Linked DNA regions of Coturnix japonica. The protein of the gene in region 2 binds, or shares a complex with, the protein of the main gene of each other region. Links are inferred from orthologs where the notes say so. Each region holds a gene or a part of one and is shown on either strand. Other genes may lie near its edges.

Region 1 (4,358 bases), about 65 Mb from region 2:
TCCATAAGGAACAACAGGAACGAAACAGAAGGCTGGACATTACAAGCTATTCTAAGATCCCATAAATACACTGTTATTTAGCATACCTGGTATTTTCATTGTATTCATAAATCTGAACTTTAGCCAATATATTTGGACTGTTGTCGTCACTTCCGACAGCTATCATTGGAGAATGTGCTCTGGAGCTGGAAGTAAAAAGATACAAATTCTGTTACTAATTATTTCACAAGTAACTTCCAAAATTTAAGACACACCTGTATATAAAACAAAAAGATTGCCTAGAAAGAAATACAAAGTATCATTCATAGTTACCAGTACTACCTCAACTCTGTTCTCTTGAATGTCTACCTTATACAACAAATAAAGATAAACCATTAAGGGACACTATTTGGAATTTAGTTCAGGACAACAGATGCCCCCAGACATCGAGATTAAATTCATAGATGTGTTTGCAGTGAAGTTTGCTCTAAGGAATATGGCAGAATCCGCATCCAATGCAGTACTCGCAGTGACTGATTTAGGGGGGTTTCATTCAGATTCTGGAAAACCAGTTACAAAAGGTATACGAGCACTAGTTTTTAAATCAACTTTTAGCACAGCTTCTGAGGGTGATGTAGAGATAAAGCCTATACTCTTAACCTTTAGGACAGATGACTTATGTATTCTTCAGGGTGGGGACAACCCAACCATCACATTCCTCTGGTCTCTTTCTGACCAAGTAGGTTAAATCATGACTGAGCCCCTGAAGATACAACTAAAGGAATAATACAACCCTTAGGCTTTGTGTTAGTAAAACCTGTGGTTCCTAGCACTGCTAAGGGTGCACATCCTTGTTACCTATGGTGACAACTTCCTGAAGCAAAGACATGGGAACGCTCTCTTCATAAACACTTTTCCTTAGGAAACACTCAGCTAAGTTTTGTGGGATAAAGAAAGCACGTTGCAGTTCTTTAGCTTGTTCATCACTATTTGTAATTAAGATGTGAATAGAACCTCACAGGACAGAATGACGTTCTATAACACTTCCCTGAACTAACACTTCCATAATGAACATTTTGGATCTTCTGCTTACACAGTCATAAAGCAACACCTTCAGCTTTAACATACCTTGAAGGATTCCACGAAATGCAACTGCAGCTTAGCTTACATGAGATTTCATGCTGCAGTGACCACTGACTGAGGTTCATCACATCTGGGGCTTCATAAATCCTTACAACTCCATCTGCTGAGCAAGTCGCTAACATAAGACCCATGTGCTTGGGAGCAAACTTCACATCTGTAACAGATGTCCTACTGTCTACCAGAGTGGTCCTCTTTACCTGCAAAAGAAAGGCAGAAACCCTTGGAAGTCTCCATCTGAAATGCCTTTCCTAATTTGTTGACTTTAGTCCCGTTGCCCAGAAGCTAGTGAAAGTCTGATAATACCACTTCATAGCATCATTTACCTCTTCCATCCAGAACGAGAATAACTTTATACACCGACTTAATGGGAAAAAGAACAGAGTACAGCACTGTTGCCATTTCAAGCAAGGACAAACACACTGTGATATCAAAGTGCTGAGAGCAACAGAAGTTGTTTAGATTAAACTTCCAAACTTCAATGTTGGGAAGCTTTAGTACAAAGTAGAAAATTGCAGATAACTGAAGGTAGAATACAGTACTGGAGGAACAGTACATTTGTAAGACTGAGTATCTGCAAAAAAAAAAAAAAATAAAATCTATTATAGAAATTCCCCCTGTGAAATGCTACCCAGAAAATCCACTTCTGAGCAAAACATTTTATTCTCCAAACCTGAGCTACAGTTTCAAAGAGGAAAAAGAATGGCACAAGATGGTTTCAGATAAATGAAGAATAAAATAACCTACAACTTCAATTCCATCACGTATGGGATTCACGTCTGCAGGTTTGCAGAACACCTAAAAATACCAATATTAGTGACACTAACTGGTCTGAATGTTGCCATTTTGCTGTCTGTCCAGAAGTCCTGATAGTACTCCTTCTATTTTGGAACACTGCCACAGATGAACAAAACACACTAAAGTCAAGGACACTTTCTATTAGAGAAGAAAACCTCCTGCAATCTGTTTCAGGAATAGCATATATGTTGCAGACTCCCAGACGTCCAGCAAACGGTATTTACAACAACTTCATGTTCAGCCTTCTGTGTAATGCTGGAGTTCAGACAGTTTAAAGCTTCAGTCCAATACAATAAGCAAACAAATCAACAAGGAACAGCAAACCTGTTTTTATGGGCACATGTAAGAACTGTAATTAACACGTTAAAATCTTACCCAGTGACTTTGGCCTCGCAGTTTATCATTGGATTCTCCCACTATTTCTTCCCACACAGCTGCCGTTCTATCAAATGAGCAGGAGGCCAAGACCTGCCCAAATTCAGGATGGGCCCATGTCACGCGCCACACAGAGCCGCTGTGTGTCTGCAAGATAACACAGAATGGGACAGTACAGAGAAACACGTTACTGCAGGGGAACATGAAGGGCTTACCACACACTTTTGTGGCTGTAAAACAGAAGTAAGCAGTCTGAAGCAGTGTGACCATTCCTGTGGTGCCTAAATTCTTATACAAAGTTCAAAGCAATGGCTGAATTCGTTAATTTCTGTAAAGTTTTGCTATTATTTAACTGTTACAAGGTAATGAAGAGCACATCTAGGTACTGCTCATTATTGCTTTCAAATCCTACGCTCAAAAAAAAATAGTTGCCAACTAAGATTCTGTCTTGACAGGAGAAATGGAGTATAAAAGCTCTACAAAAAGAAAGAGAGAGATCACAGCATTACTGCGTAATGACTATTAATACAAACCTTCCAGCTTGCAGTGCAATGCCAATCCCCATTTTCACTCTTGTCCCAGACCTATTGAAAAAAAACAGAAGACAATCATATAATTTGTAGATAAGTGCACTAGATAATAACAGAAAACACAGCCACTCAGAAAAGGGAAATTACTATTGGATGTTTTCATCTGGAATAATCTTGGCACACTACACAACTACACTACACTCAACTTCCTTCCTACCGATATGAAGAACAGGCACACGCCTGCAAAATCCACCATCATGTGAAGTCTGTCATTTTTAAACAACGTACTGCTCACAAGGAGACATTATGGTAGTGTTCAATACTTCATTTTGACATTACATCCCAGTAGCAAATCACTTTGTGTTATTGCAGCCATCCCAACAAGCTCAGATGTGGTCCCCAAATGTTGACGTGGCTCCTGGCTGTCACCTCAGACAGAACAGAACAGCTCTATGGGAGAGGATCTACAGAGATTGTGGATTGTGACTGCAAGTCAAAGCAAGGCAGCAAACAAAACAAATCTAGTGGTACAAAATGGGGTAAAAGATCTTATCATTGCTTCTAATATTTCTAAATTGATCTATGAACCACAAACAGGTAACGCAACCTCCTATTCTCTGTTTATCACCCTGATGTAAGAAAAGCCACCAATCGTATCAGCCATGAAATGCTGCAACTTCTGTGCAGCTGCTGTTCTGCAGGGCCCATTTGTGGAGGGTGGGACCTACATCAAAAATAACATGGCCGTAAAACTTCTCAACAGTCTCATTAAAGACTCTGTTATAACTGGAAAGCTACACTACGTGGTTAAAGGTGTGGTTTCTAGAAGATCTACCTACATCTTGGTGTCTTACTTTTTAGGCTTCAAGTTCTACACACTCAGCCCGATCAAAGGCTGTTGGCTCACTCCTTGGGGCTGGGTTGCTTTTTCTTTTTTCCTGTTGCTGTTCACAGAATCACAGAATCACAAGGTTGGAAAGGACCTACAAGATCATCTAGTCCAACCATCCTCCCTTTACCATACCTATAGAAAAACCCCTAACCCATATCTCCTAGCTCCCTATCCAGACACCTCTTGAACACTGCCAGGGATGGCGACTCCACCACCGCCCTGGACAGGCTATTCCAGTGCCTGACCACTCTCTGAGAAAAACTGATGGTTTTGTTTGTTTCTTAACACATGATCAGAAAGAAGAAGCCTTTTGCATGCATACTGGGTTCACATAGCAGGGTTCTGGTACTGGGGTGCTGCAGGGCGGCTTGTGTGAGCACAGCCCAGTCGTACGCCACGTCAGCTCAGAGCTCCAGCTGCTCCAACAGGACCCAACGCTACCAGAGTTGAGTGATGCTGGTTGTGCACTTAGAGAACAGATTTAAGGAAGAGAAATAATGCCACAGAGCAGCAGCTGGGAAAGAGGGCTGAGAGATGTGTGAGAACAGCCCTGAATCACAGAATGACCCGGGTTGGAAGGGACCTCAAGGATCATGTAGTTCCAACCCCCCTGCCTGGCAGGGCCACCAAACATACACCTTTAC
Region 2 (5,885 bases):
GAAACTTTCCCAACACTCAACAGTTGCTTTTGTTTGGGGGTTTTTTTCCACCTCAAGCAGATCAAATATTAATAAGACCTTTATTGAATAGAGAGGACAAGATTCAAATAAGAAACCGCTAAAATATACTTCAGTGAGCGTAAGAGGCATAATAAGATACACAATGAACGACTGCCACTTCAAAAAAAGGTAGCTTCTTTAAACATACAAATGTACTTTGGCTACAGTAAAGTCAGCTTTCTACAACTACGCTCCCATGTGAAACTCCAAAAAACACAACAGTTATGCAGGCAGCAACACTTTTTGGTGCCATAGTCAACAAGTAAATGTTTGAAATAGGTCAGTTGAAGTTCTGCCTCTGAGGTTATTTTGTTCTTCTGATGAGCTTCAAAGAAAACAAAAAAATCAGGAAGTTACTGTAATATAAACTGTTCACTTTCATTTCTGTACTTACAACATACATTAAAACACAGACTGAGAGACTTTATGTATTTCTACAGCCTCCTTCAACAATTTTTAAAGACAAACACGAGTGCTTCATTTTGTAAATATATTGTAATATAACTTATCAAAGTTGCAACATTCTTACCCAAAGATGACTTCACAATTGACTTAATGCCAGCATAAACTAGGGGACCCTTGTTTCCTGTAAGTTTTTGATCCATATCTTCAGTATACTGCTTCATAAGTATTAACACGTATAGGAAGCTTATTTTCTTTCCAAAGAATTTGAAAAAACACTTCTTTAAAGTTAAAACTCACATTCTGTTAACGCAGGCCTTTTACAGCACATTACACTGCATTTAGACCTTGAGGCATTTCACACAACTGGTTTACACGTAAAGGGTGCATTACTTCTTTAAAATATAAACCACGGTAAAATAAAGGATATAGTGCAGGGTGTACCAAAGTGATTTCAGCTGAGGATCTTCATTTCCAGCTAGGAGGTGATTTCTCCAAACTTGTTCAGTATCAAGACCATACCTTGATAAAGCTCGGAGCCGCATTTTGGTGGCTATATCCTTTTCCAAGGAGCTGGCCTTTCCTTCTTCTGTACACTCATATAAATGGCGTCCACAAGCCCACATTAAGGATGTCACTGGACTCCATGCAAGTGAAATTCTCTCGAAAACCGTGAAGTCGGACATAGTTCTATTGGGAGTCACAACCACCATTCGATTTTGACTTGTGGGATGCCAGGCAAATGAGGCAATGTAGTTTTCACACGGCTGGACGCTCCTTTCAATTATTGTAGGCTCAGTTTCATCTCCAATAGGCGTGGGAGTATGCTGCATGTCATACAGCCTAATGATATTACTGTCCCTTGTTAAAGTAGCTAACAGCCCAGTTCTTGTTGGACACCACGCGACTTTTGTTAATGGTTTTGGTTGCTCTGTCAAGGTCAAAACAGGCTTCTCAAACTTTCTTAAATCCCATATGGCAACTTGGCCTTCATAGAAGGAAGCTACACGATCATGGAAGTATGGATCAACAGTCACTCCTTGGACAGCCTTAGTATTTACAAATATTTTTTGGCTCGTATTCCTCAGATCAAAGATAGCCAGATTGCGATGCATTCCAGCTAAAAGAAGCTTCTGATCCCGTGGAAGCCAACAAAGGGAGAGACAAGCATCGTTCTGCCCTAATTCATACAGTGGCTTTGTTACCACCAGTCCTGCTTCCGGATCTCCTGTCGAAAGTCTCACTTTCTCTGTAGCAACTGCAGTCTCTGGAGCATATTTACTACTGATATCCCAGATCAATACTGAAAAGTCAGCCCGATGTTTGTCTAATCCAGCAGCAAGCCAATTACTATCTAGTGGGTTCCATGCCAGGGTGTTGCACTGCCGTGCATGCTTGGGAACAAACTCTTTTCCTATCAAATCTTTATATTTTGAGTTGTGATCTTGACCAAGGCTGGTAAGCACCACCCGACCATTGGCCTGTCCAACAGCAAGAAGACATTCAGGATCATACTTGGGATACCAAGCCACACATTTCATATACGGTGTATCTGAATTTATTGACAACAGCGTGGCTGTAGTTTCTTCTGATAAACGCAAGGACCCTGCCTTGAGTTCTGAACTTACAGCAGATTCAATGTGATAAAGGCTCAACTCTGAGTCACACACAACAAAACGGTCGACATGGTGCGGGGCCCAAAGAATATCAGGTTTGGAGCCGCTCATTTTTAGGGTGAGTTCATCAACAACTTAAACTCTTGTAAGAAGATTCTGGTGACATCCATTCATACGAAAACTGTTGAGAAAATGATTCGTAGGAATGTTATAGAGAAACAAATTTCTTTTTCATCATTAAAAACAACAAGAATATTGTTCTACATTGTTTTTAGCCCAAGTTTATATTGTGCACACATTCAAGGCCAAAACTTTAAGCATTTCTCACATTAAGCCACTTTTTACATGACATGCCCTGTTTTTGCTCAGATACACTGACTGATGCAGAAAAAACACAGCAGTGTGTTCCATCTACAAACCAACAGCAGTATGTTTACAACCTCCATACCAGTATTGCTTGCTTATTATGGAAGAGAGCATTAACCCAAATGTGATGCAGCATGATGCGTGGGTGTGCTGCCAGAAAAGGGCCACTCCCTAAAACAGGTAGTAGAAAACATCTCTGCCTAATTGAATTGCGCTAATTCACAGATACTAGAGCCTGTCTGCCTTGTTTAACATCTCATCTATCACAGAATCACAGAGTGACCCGGGTTGGAAGGGACCTCAAGGATCATGTAGTTCCAACCCCCCTGCCTGGCAGGGCCACCAAACATACACCTTTACTAGATCAGGTTGCACAGGGCCCCGTCCAACCTGGTCTTGAACACCTCCAAGGACGGGGCATCCACAACCTCCCTGGGCAGCCTGTTCCAGGGCCCAACCACTCTCCTAGTGAAGAACTTCCCCCTAACATCCAACCTAAATCTTCCCTCTTTTAACTTAAAACCATTTCCCCTAGTCCTGCTATTGTCAGCCCTTTCGAAGAGTTTACTCCCCTCCTGGGTGTAAGTTCCCTTCAGGTATTGAAAGGCTGTAATGAGGTCACCCCGCAACCTTCTCTTCTCTAGGCTGAACAAGCCCAACTCCCTCAGCCTGTCCTCACAGGGGAGGTGCTCCAGCCCCCTGATCATCTTCGTGGCACTCATCTATAACCTACAAGGTCTTACCCTACTTTAAGATTTCTATAAAGCTTTACATGGTTCATCTCATTCTGCAGCTCCCAGCTCCACCTTCTGCCCCAGTGACACTAAATCTTTGCATGTGGCCTAGTAGCACACATAAACACGCTGTACTCTGATAGCCGCAGGAGCCATACGGCCAGAATCCTCACACATTACTACATACAAAGGAAACCTGTGATTCCAACAAGCTTTTCATAAGGCTGGGGAAAGGAAAAGATTTACCGGACTGGGAAAGAACAGAGGGAAGCAGTTGCTGCCTCGGGGCATCCCCTCATCCCCGCTGTGTGCTCTCAGCGCTCCCCTCCTCCCGCCTCAGCCCAGCCCAGCCTCCACCCGGTCCGGAGCCCGGCCCGCCTCACCGCTCTGTGGGTACGAGGAGCCGCCGGGGCCTGCAGAGAACCGGAGCCACCGGCCGCGGGGAACAGCCACAGCCGGGCCGCGCTTCCGGCTGCGGGGCGGAAGGGAAGGGAGAACAGCCGCACTTCCAGAAAGCTCCTTCCGCTGGTCGGGAACGCGCTCTGAGTTCCGGGTTAGGAGTGTGCGCAGCTGGTGTTAGTTCTGAGTATCAAATTAACGGCAATTTGTGCACTAAATCCCATCCGACCACTCCGAGCGTGCGGCCTAAAATGTGGGGAGGCACTAGGCTCCATCTGCTGGTCGTTGGATGAGGGCTAGCGCTCATCCTCACTGTCAACTTAGAACTTTTCATGGCTGACCCAGCCGAGGGATGGGGTGCCATTCAGAGAGCTGGGCAGGATGAGCAGTGGGACCAGCTGAACATCGTGAGGTTCATCAGATCCCAGTGCAGGTCTTATAGGTGTATTATGGCAACCTGCACTATCAGTACCATACGGGGGGTGTAAGGATAGAGCAGAGCCCTACCAAAAAATAATGGGGTCACTTGTGGAGTGAGCCAGCAGTGTGCCCTTGGAGCTGTGAAAGTGAAAATGGTCTCCAAAAATATCATTTGAGTTATTTCTCACAATCTGGGGGCTCGTCTGGGAGCCATCACCTTTCAGGGGTCTCTGACTACCATGGACAGGAGAGGTGCACCACACTGAGCTTAGTGGTCCCATCAGGAGTGGTGGGTACCTCCCCAGAACAGCTGACTAGAGACCAAAACTTTAGAGCCACACCATGAAAGTTTGAAAAAGGGGAGAAGGTATAGGCACAGAAATCGATACATAGACCTGTAACTTCGAGTGCAGACCAAGGTAAGAGAATTTTGACCAAAATAGGGGTCTGACAAAGATTGGGCTTGTCAGACTTTGAATTTATATGTAAACAGTAATACTCCTTTCTCTGAAAAAGAATCAGTATTGATTTCTCTAACTTCCCATTTTCCAAGTCACTTTCCCCATTCCAGTCTGAGCTGTTTATGACAGGGTTACATTAATCAAGGCTTTATAGTTTGACCAAGAAATGAGTATTTACTTTATGAGGATCAGACAGTAACAAAGGAATGGAAAGAGTTATTCCAGGAGATAATCTCTCTCATGAAACCTACCATCTCAGTCTTTTACTATCTTAGTCTTTAGCTTTCACTTTCTGTTACAAAGGGATGTGTGTTATACTCTTACATTGTAGGCTTATGTTATGTTATACATATGGCCCCTCTGTTTCACAGTAGTTTTGTTTACTAATTGTGTTCTGATTAAAGGCTGAATAAGGCCCATACTTATCACAGTGCATAATCGCGTAGATACACCAGAGGGCAGAATTTAGACAGCATAAATAATATCTCTTTATGTTATATTTTACACACATTTAATTTAATTTGACTCAGCAGCTAAATGATCATTTGCTTGGTATACAGCAGTCTTATTTTTGAAGACTCTATGTTGCATAAAGCATGAATAAGAATGTCACTGAATTAATATACCTCGGGCAGTAGAAAAGCTGTTTGATAAAAACCGTTTGAAGTGTGTACTTCAAATAGCTGTGTTTCCTAACAGGATAAAAAAAACTGCAATGTATTCCCGTGAATGTTGTCATTCTTATCGTGTGAAGAAAATACTGTAAATTTAAGGCATTCAAATCTGGTTAATATCACTGATCAAGCAGAACCAAAACATCTTCTGATACATTATATTCTTGTACTATATGATAGTCACCTTCTTTCTTGGTTTTATAGATCTGTATCATGTTCACCATCAGTTGTGGCCATCCAAGTGAAAGAATTGTATCCTTCTTGGCTCCCTTCATCCAGAAGCTCTCACATCTTTGTAGCCTTTCTGTTTCTTTTTATTTCTTCTGTGCCATTTGAGTCACTGTAACTCAAATATCAGACGGTATCCACATTCTCTCTGATCATGAATGATAGTGTAAAATTTATTGACCAATGTCTTATTATCCCCTGTTTCAGTCTGGTAGGGTTATCTACCCTGGTAATGGAGTTCTGAGAGGTGGAGTGTGAAAGGTCACTAGCTACAGTGGATACAGCGAGCTGCTATGGCACACTAGGGATAAAGTGCCTACGCTGTCTAAGAGGTTAAAGCTGTTTTGTGTGAAAGTTATGCCCAAAGGGATTTAGAACTTGCCATCTGTAAATTCATTTCTCAATTTAAAATGTACAAGGGAAGCTCTGAAGGTAATGCCTCCCATTTGGGCCTACTAGACATTTAAATACATTCATATCGCAGAATTTGAAGGTAATCTGAATGTTCAAATGCTCTGGATTTTA
Region 3 (5,605 bases), on a different chromosome or scaffold from region 2:
TGAGGAACAAACACGGTGCTGGGGACAGCCCTGTGCAAGAGGGGCCTGGCACGGCCTCACCGCACACCTGGCCGCTATCTGCCACTCTCCTGGCGCTTCTGCAGCAGCTCAATGACCTCCGTGATGCCGTCCTCAGGGACCTGTGGGGACAGGGGTCTGTCAGCCCCACTTGGGGGACACGGGGGGACGTGGTGGGGCAGCGTGCCAGGCTCACCAGCGCGTGGTCAAAGTTGAAGGTGCTGATATAATAGGCTGAGATATCCACAGCAGCCAGCGGCTCAGCGATCTGCGCCACGATGCCACACTCATCTGGGGAGGCAATGAGAGCGCAGCGTCACCAACACAGTGACACATGGTGGTGGTGGAGGAGGGGTCCCCTAATCCCTGCACCCCCCTGCAGACCCATGGTGGTGGTGGTGGCACTCACCGAAGCCCAAGGGCTGCCCACCGATCCTCACCATCCGCCAGAGCTCCCCACTGGAGCTGGTGAGCAGCAGGTCACTGGGGAACCTACAAAGGGGGAAACTGAGCATGGCAGACCCCCAGTGCTGGGTGGGGGCACCCGCGGATGGCAGCCCTACCGCTTCTGGGTCTCTGCATCCATCACGATGGAGATGTAGCCCTCGATGAGAGAGAAGGAGAAGAAGGTGATGGAGTCGAGGTCAGCAGCACTGGGTTCCTTGGGGGGGCTGCGGGTAGAGGATGGCACAGGGACCCCAAATCAGGAGGAGGGTGTCATTGGGACGGCTCCAAAGGTGCCACTGGTGTCAGCCAGGGGTGCCTCAGGATGGGAACAGGGTTGGGAAACTCGGGCAGCTGAGTTTGCAGGGGGGGTGCCCACCCCATTTGCAATAAAAAACCCTTTTCTCTTTTGTTTTGCATGGCTGCAATGCATGGCTTGTCCCCCCCATATGGTGACACCAGGGCTCCTGTCCACAGAGGTGGCAGCAGGACCGGCAGCAACCGAGGGTGACCAAAAGTCAGCAAAGTGCACCCCGAGGTCAAAAAGGGGATGAATGAGTGAGACCCAAAGGGGTGACACCGATGTCCCCAGCCCCGTCACTCACCTGTGGGAGTAGAAGAGCACATCGATGAGCATGGTGGCGATGGCAGGCAGCGTGTCGGGTGCCACCGTCAGGATGCAGAAGCGGTTCTGGGGGCTCTGCACGGGGTGCAGCGTGGGGCTGGGGGCTGCGGGGCAGAGGCAGCGATTGTCACCGGGGCCTTTGGGGACAGCACCGCAGTGCCACCACGTGGCCACCGGGCCAGCGGCGTCCCCTGGGGTGCCAAAAAGGCAGGGGTCCCCAAAGCACGGGGGGTGTCTGCAACGGAGCGTCCCTTGGGCACTGGGGACGGGGTGGCCTTGGGGACATCAAGTGACGCTCACCCGACTTGGGCTTGAGGAACCCATTGCTGGCATCATCACAGGGGACTGGGATGGATTCACCGTTCTCCTCCTTGTAGATGTCGAACTCCCCGGCCAAGGTATGAATGACCACAGGCAGGTCCCGCTCCCGCACCTGGCAGCGGCGCGGCATCACCGTGGCTGTCCCCAAAGATCAATGGGGTCCCCACCATCTCCCACTCAGCCCCATGGCACCATCCCCACTGAGCTCACCAGGATGAAGTCGGTCTGGTAGGTGGAGAGCATCAGCACCGAGACGTGGTGCTCGGCCAGCGGCGCGATGACGGAGCGGGCGATCTTGGTGACACCGGTGGCCTGGCAGCCAGAGGGAGCGCAGCCATTGGAGACAACGCTGAGCACCAACCAGGTGGAGTCTGCCACCTGCATGAACTCGGAGGGCGGCAGCTCTGTGTGGGACAGGGAAAACTGAGGTATGACACGGGGCTGTGCTGTGTCCCCAACCCCAATGGGACCCCGCTGAGAGGGGACAGTGGGTCCCAGTCTATTATGGGTGCTGGAGGGGGCAATGGCTTGATCTAAGGGATGCAGGAGGGGATGCTGAGGGTGGCTGCCCTCTGCCTGCAGGCAGCAAAGACATCGTGCACCACAGGGTGTAACGCTGCGTACATCCCTGCTCTGATGGCACTGCAGGATGCTGAATGCCAGCATACAGGGACATGAGTCAGTGCTGTCCCCATGCAGCAAGGGGCAGCCCCACACACAGGGCTGGGAGCGCTGATACTGGGAGCAAACCTTCCAATCTGGGATGTGCCTCTCGTCCTGCACCTGCAGGGCTGGCCACGAGTGGGTGCAGCACACTGAGACCCCGGGGCTGTGCACATCTCCCACCCCATCCTCTGCCTCCCGTGTCACACCGGAGGGGATGTGGGATGTCCTCACACCGTGCCCGGCTCTGACAAGCCGTAATCCCTGAGGCTGAGCCCATGCTGGCAGTAGACCAGGGCTGCCTCCCAAAAAGCTGCTGTTGTTGGCAGGGAATGAGTGTGCCGGCCGGTTCCTTCCTGCCCCACGCCCGCTCCCCAGGAAGGAACGGATCGGGGCCACGTTGTTCCTTCGGCACCCAATATCTCCGGGTGGGCACCCCCAGACCTCACTGCCCGCTGCTCAGCAGCAGCCATTCAGTAACAGGCTGAGACCACCCCGCTCACTGCAGCGATGAGGGAGGAGCGAGGCCAGATGTGAAGGTCCCAAGCGCAGGGTGCTGGCAGCTGCTTGTTCCTGCACAGGAAGCCTTCCCGGGGACGGGGACCGCGGTGCCGCGTCCCCACTTAATGGCTTTTCAACACCCGTGGGCTGCAAGGGGGGCTGCGATCATATGGGTGCCCCCAGATGTCCCCGTGCCTTGGGGAGCAGCGGGCCCCAGAGCCTCACCCGGCCCCAGAGCCGTGAATTGTAACCCGGGGGTGCAGCGCGGCCCCATGGGGTGCCTGGGGGTGCTGGCAGCCCCCCAGCCCGGCGCCGTGCAGCGCCTCACAGCCATTGTTTGCCGCTTCCCGCCCGCCCCTCGGGATCGAGGAGCATTATGTCCAAAAGGTCCCGAATAAAACAATGCGTGGGGATCGGCCCCGGTTCCTCCGGGCAGCGGTGGGGAGCTGGGCTGCAGCCGGGTGGGAGCGTCGCATTGCGGCCGAGCCACTGACCTTTGGTCCTCAGGGCGTGAGCAGGAGATACAGCCCGGCCGGGGGGGGGGGGTCTGGAGCAGAGGATGGGGTCAGGATTGACCCCCAGCACAGCCCGTGGGGTCAGACTCCACAGCAGGGCTGCACACAGAGCGTCACTACACAGCGATGTCACCCGGTGCCACCTTCCAGGGACAGGGACTCAAAGACCCTCAGCACGGCCCGGCAGCGGGATGCGGGGAAGGGCAGCACTCCCACTCCCCGCCCCGTCCCATTGCGGAGGCTCAGCCGCGTCCCCGTGGCTTTAGGCAGCACCGGAGCTGCCAAACAGGGAGAACCTGAGCAGGGCAGTTCCCTGCCGGCCGCTGACCGCACAGCTCCGAGCATCGCCGGGCTGAGGCCGGCCACAACTCATGGCCGCAGTGTCGGTACCTTTGAAGCCCTCCTCGTCCAGCATGATGGTGTAATCCTCGGGGGTCTCGGTCAGGCTGAAGAACTTACACCTGCCGGGACACAACGCGGTGCGGTGGGACCGAGAGGAGGAGGAGGAGGAGGGAGGGGGGGGTGAGGAAGGGGATCGGTACCTGCAGCGCTGCGGCAGGAAGAGCAGTTTGAGCAGCGGGTGGGTGTAGAGCCACAGCCCGCGGCGCGCCAGGGACAGCACCCGCACGCGGTGCTCCAGGATGTGCAGGTCCATGGCGGCCGCGCCGCGACGGGACGGGGCTCCGTGGGGCTATAAGGGCCCAACGGGACCGGACCGCCCCGTCCCGGCACCGCCCCGGGCTGCGGGAGGGGCACCCGCCCGCCCCGCCCCGTCCCGTAACGCGTTGGGGCGCTCTCGGCCCGTATCCATCCAAGTCGGGGTAGGGGGGGGGGTCGGGATCCGCTGAGTTCACGGGAGGGGAGGTGTGCGGGAACCAGGGTTCTGCCCCGCAGCCGCTTCGTGGGCAGAGGGATTTGGGGAAGGGGGGATGGAAGTTCTTGCACCATTCCTGCCTGCAGGGAGCACCATTTTGTACGTGGAAAGCAGAGAACGGAGGCTGCGGGGGGGGGGAGCGGAGCTGCTCCCGGTTCTGCTGCGAGATGGGCAGCCGGCCGAGCTGCCCCGGGGCTGGAGGTGACCTCCAGGTGCGTCAGCACAGCTCGGCGTCTCTCATCTGCGCTTCAAACAGCGTTGGGCCCCGGGGCTGGGAGGGGCAGCGAGGCGGTCACCTCCCTGCTGTGTCCCCAATGAACCCCTTTACAGGACGCTGCAGGACACCGGGGTGGGATAAAGGACGGTCGCACATCATCAGGTGGGATGCACGAGAGAAGTTCCCCCGCAGTTATAGGGATGCTGCCACTGAGTGATGCCACCTCTGACCCCGCAGCCACCACCAGGCAGGGAAGGGAGGCCCCAAACCACACTGCGTGCACACAGCAAGTGTGAGCAACAGCATGGAGGGGATGGAGGGGATGGAGCACCCCTGTCCCCCGCCACGGCACCCAAAGAGACGTTGAACCCACGGAGCCGCACACGCTGCGCCTTTACACAATCCTGCTTTATTTCCCCTTTGTACAAAACCACGTTGCCCCGCTGTATTTTACAAAGCCTCCCCCTGCCCACGACGCAGGGTAGGGGGGAAGAGAGGGGACCCCGCAGCAGGCAGCACCCCCAGCCCCGGCTCACCTCGGCCCTGCAGGGCACGGGGTCTGCCATCCAATCCTGCTGCCTCCGGTGCGTCCCGCCTGCAGTTCCCAACCTCGGCCCCCGGCCTGCAAGAGTTACTGCCATGGAGGAATAATAAATAGGCTCAGTGAATAGGTAAATTCATACTACATATTGGGCTACAGCTTGATACATCCTCACTAGATAAAGAGGGGGGGGTGGGGAGCAGAGGCTGCTCCCAACTCCTCACGTACCCCCAGCCCCAAACAATGGGGAGCTGGGTCTGGGTTTGCCCCAACAGCATGGGGTGGGCAGGGGATGGGGGGAGGGTTGCAGGGGACGTGGGGTGATGGGATGAGGAGGGGGGGGCTCGTGCCTGGCCCCTGAGGGGCGGCGGAGGAGCTCAGGTGGCTCAGCCACCCTGTGCCAGGGCTCCAACCACTGAGGTGCCAGCACCCTGCAGGGCTGGGGACAGCACGGCTGGATGCACCGCCATGTCACCGCGCTGGGTTGAGCTCCCACTGGTCACCCCACGGGACCCTAATTGGGCACCCAGCCGGCGCCCCCACGGTGCCACACGAGCCCACATCAGCCACGTCCTGCTCCCTCCAGCCCCGAGCCCCCGTTGCCAGGCGCCACGAGGGTCCCCTCCCACCCTGGGGTCCCCCCTCCTGCCCTCGGCCGCAGAGGGAGCAGCGTCCTGGAGCCCGGGTCCGAACACAGCCCAGCTGAGCCCGGCCGTGGGGCCGCGCCGGCCCTACAAGTACGTGTCCTCGCTCTCCCGCGAGCACAAGCTCTCCTTGGACTGGTGGTGGGGGGAGCTCTGGGGGTGCAGCAGCTCACGGGCAGCACCGGGCGCCCCATTGCCCTCAGCCCCAGGGCTGCTGGTGGGACTGACTGAGGCCTTCTCAC

What was found.
Region 1: the proteins of MIOS (region 2) and SEH1L are in contact, whole or in part, in a cryo-EM structure (PDB 7UHY), measured with the Homo sapiens proteins. The link is inferred for Coturnix japonica from reciprocal best matches to the Homo sapiens genes MIOS and SEH1L. Residues at the interface, in NP_001357005.1 of Homo sapiens: Arg279, Arg316, Ser317, Phe353, Glu354, Arg355, Ile356, Ser357, Leu358, Ala359, Trp360, Pro362, Leu366, Met367, Trp368, Ala369, Cys370, Gly371, Arg372, Leu374, Tyr375, Glu376, Cys377, Thr378, Glu379, Glu380, Glu387, Asp389, Ile390, Ala391; in NP_112493.2 of Homo sapiens: Met1, Phe2, Val3, Ala4, Arg5, Ser6, Ile7, Ala9, His11, Lys12, Asp13, Leu14, Ile15, His16, Asp17, Val18, Phe20, Phe22, His23, Gly24, Arg25, Met27, Trp47, Ser173, Ser174, Ser175, Asn230, Leu231, Gly232, Arg233.
Region 3: the proteins of MIOS (region 2) and CASTOR1 are in contact, whole or in part, in a cryo-EM structure (PDB 9LVK), measured with the Homo sapiens proteins. The link is inferred for Coturnix japonica from reciprocal best matches to the Homo sapiens genes MIOS and CASTOR1. Residues at the interface, in NP_001357005.1 of Homo sapiens: Ala83, Asn84, Val109, Pro110, Lys111, His112, Ala113, Arg114, Asp134, Lys135, His136, Arg137, Asn184; in NP_001032755.1 of Homo sapiens: Val94, Ser116, Thr117, Tyr118, Gln119, Thr120, Asp121, Thr188, Tyr236, Leu255, Thr256, Ser257, Ser258, Ala295, Tyr296.

What each region holds. Positions count from the first base shown.
Region 1 is NC_029517.1:87,392,868-87,397,225, forward strand, and holds part of SEH1L (nucleoporin SEH1), read right to left. Parts: intron 2,877-4,358; coding exon 2,826-2,876; intron 2,440-2,825; coding exon 2,293-2,439; intron 1,320-2,292; coding exon 1,108-1,319; intron 186-1,107; coding exon 87-185; intron 1-86. UniProt on the Homo sapiens protein: Component of the Nup107-160 subcomplex of the nuclear pore complex (NPC). The Nup107-160 subcomplex is required for the assembly of a functional NPC.
Region 2 is NC_029517.1:22,614,883-22,620,767, reverse strand, and holds the start of MIOS (GATOR complex protein MIOS), read right to left. Parts: upstream 3,813-5,885; 5' UTR 3,562-3,812; intron 3,508-3,561; exon of another isoform or gene 3,425-3,507; intron 2,260-3,424; 5' UTR 2,190-2,259; coding exon 893-2,189; intron 689-892; coding exon 590-688; intron 1-589. UniProt on the Homo sapiens protein: As a component of the GATOR2 complex, functions as an activator of the amino acid-sensing branch of the mTORC1 signaling pathway. The GATOR2 complex indirectly activates mTORC1 through the inhibition of the GATOR1 subcomplex.
Region 3 is NC_029530.1:9,678,570-9,684,174, reverse strand, and holds the start of CASTOR1 (cytosolic arginine sensor for mTORC1 subunit 1), read right to left. Parts: upstream 3,824-5,605; 5' UTR 3,743-3,823; coding exon 3,630-3,742; intron 3,549-3,629; coding exon 3,478-3,548; intron 1,813-3,477; coding exon 1,619-1,812; intron 1,521-1,618; coding exon 1,388-1,520; intron 1,192-1,387; coding exon 1,068-1,191; intron 690-1,067; coding exon 582-689; intron 511-581; coding exon 428-510; intron 310-427; coding exon 215-309; intron 141-214; coding exon 75-140; 3' UTR 1-74. Other genes in the region: TBC1D10A (TBC1 domain family member 10A), read right to left, coding at 5,451-5,605. UniProt on the Homo sapiens protein: Functions as an intracellular arginine sensor within the amino acid-sensing branch of the TORC1 signaling pathway. As a homodimer or a heterodimer with CASTOR2, binds and inhibits the GATOR subcomplex GATOR2 and thereby mTORC1.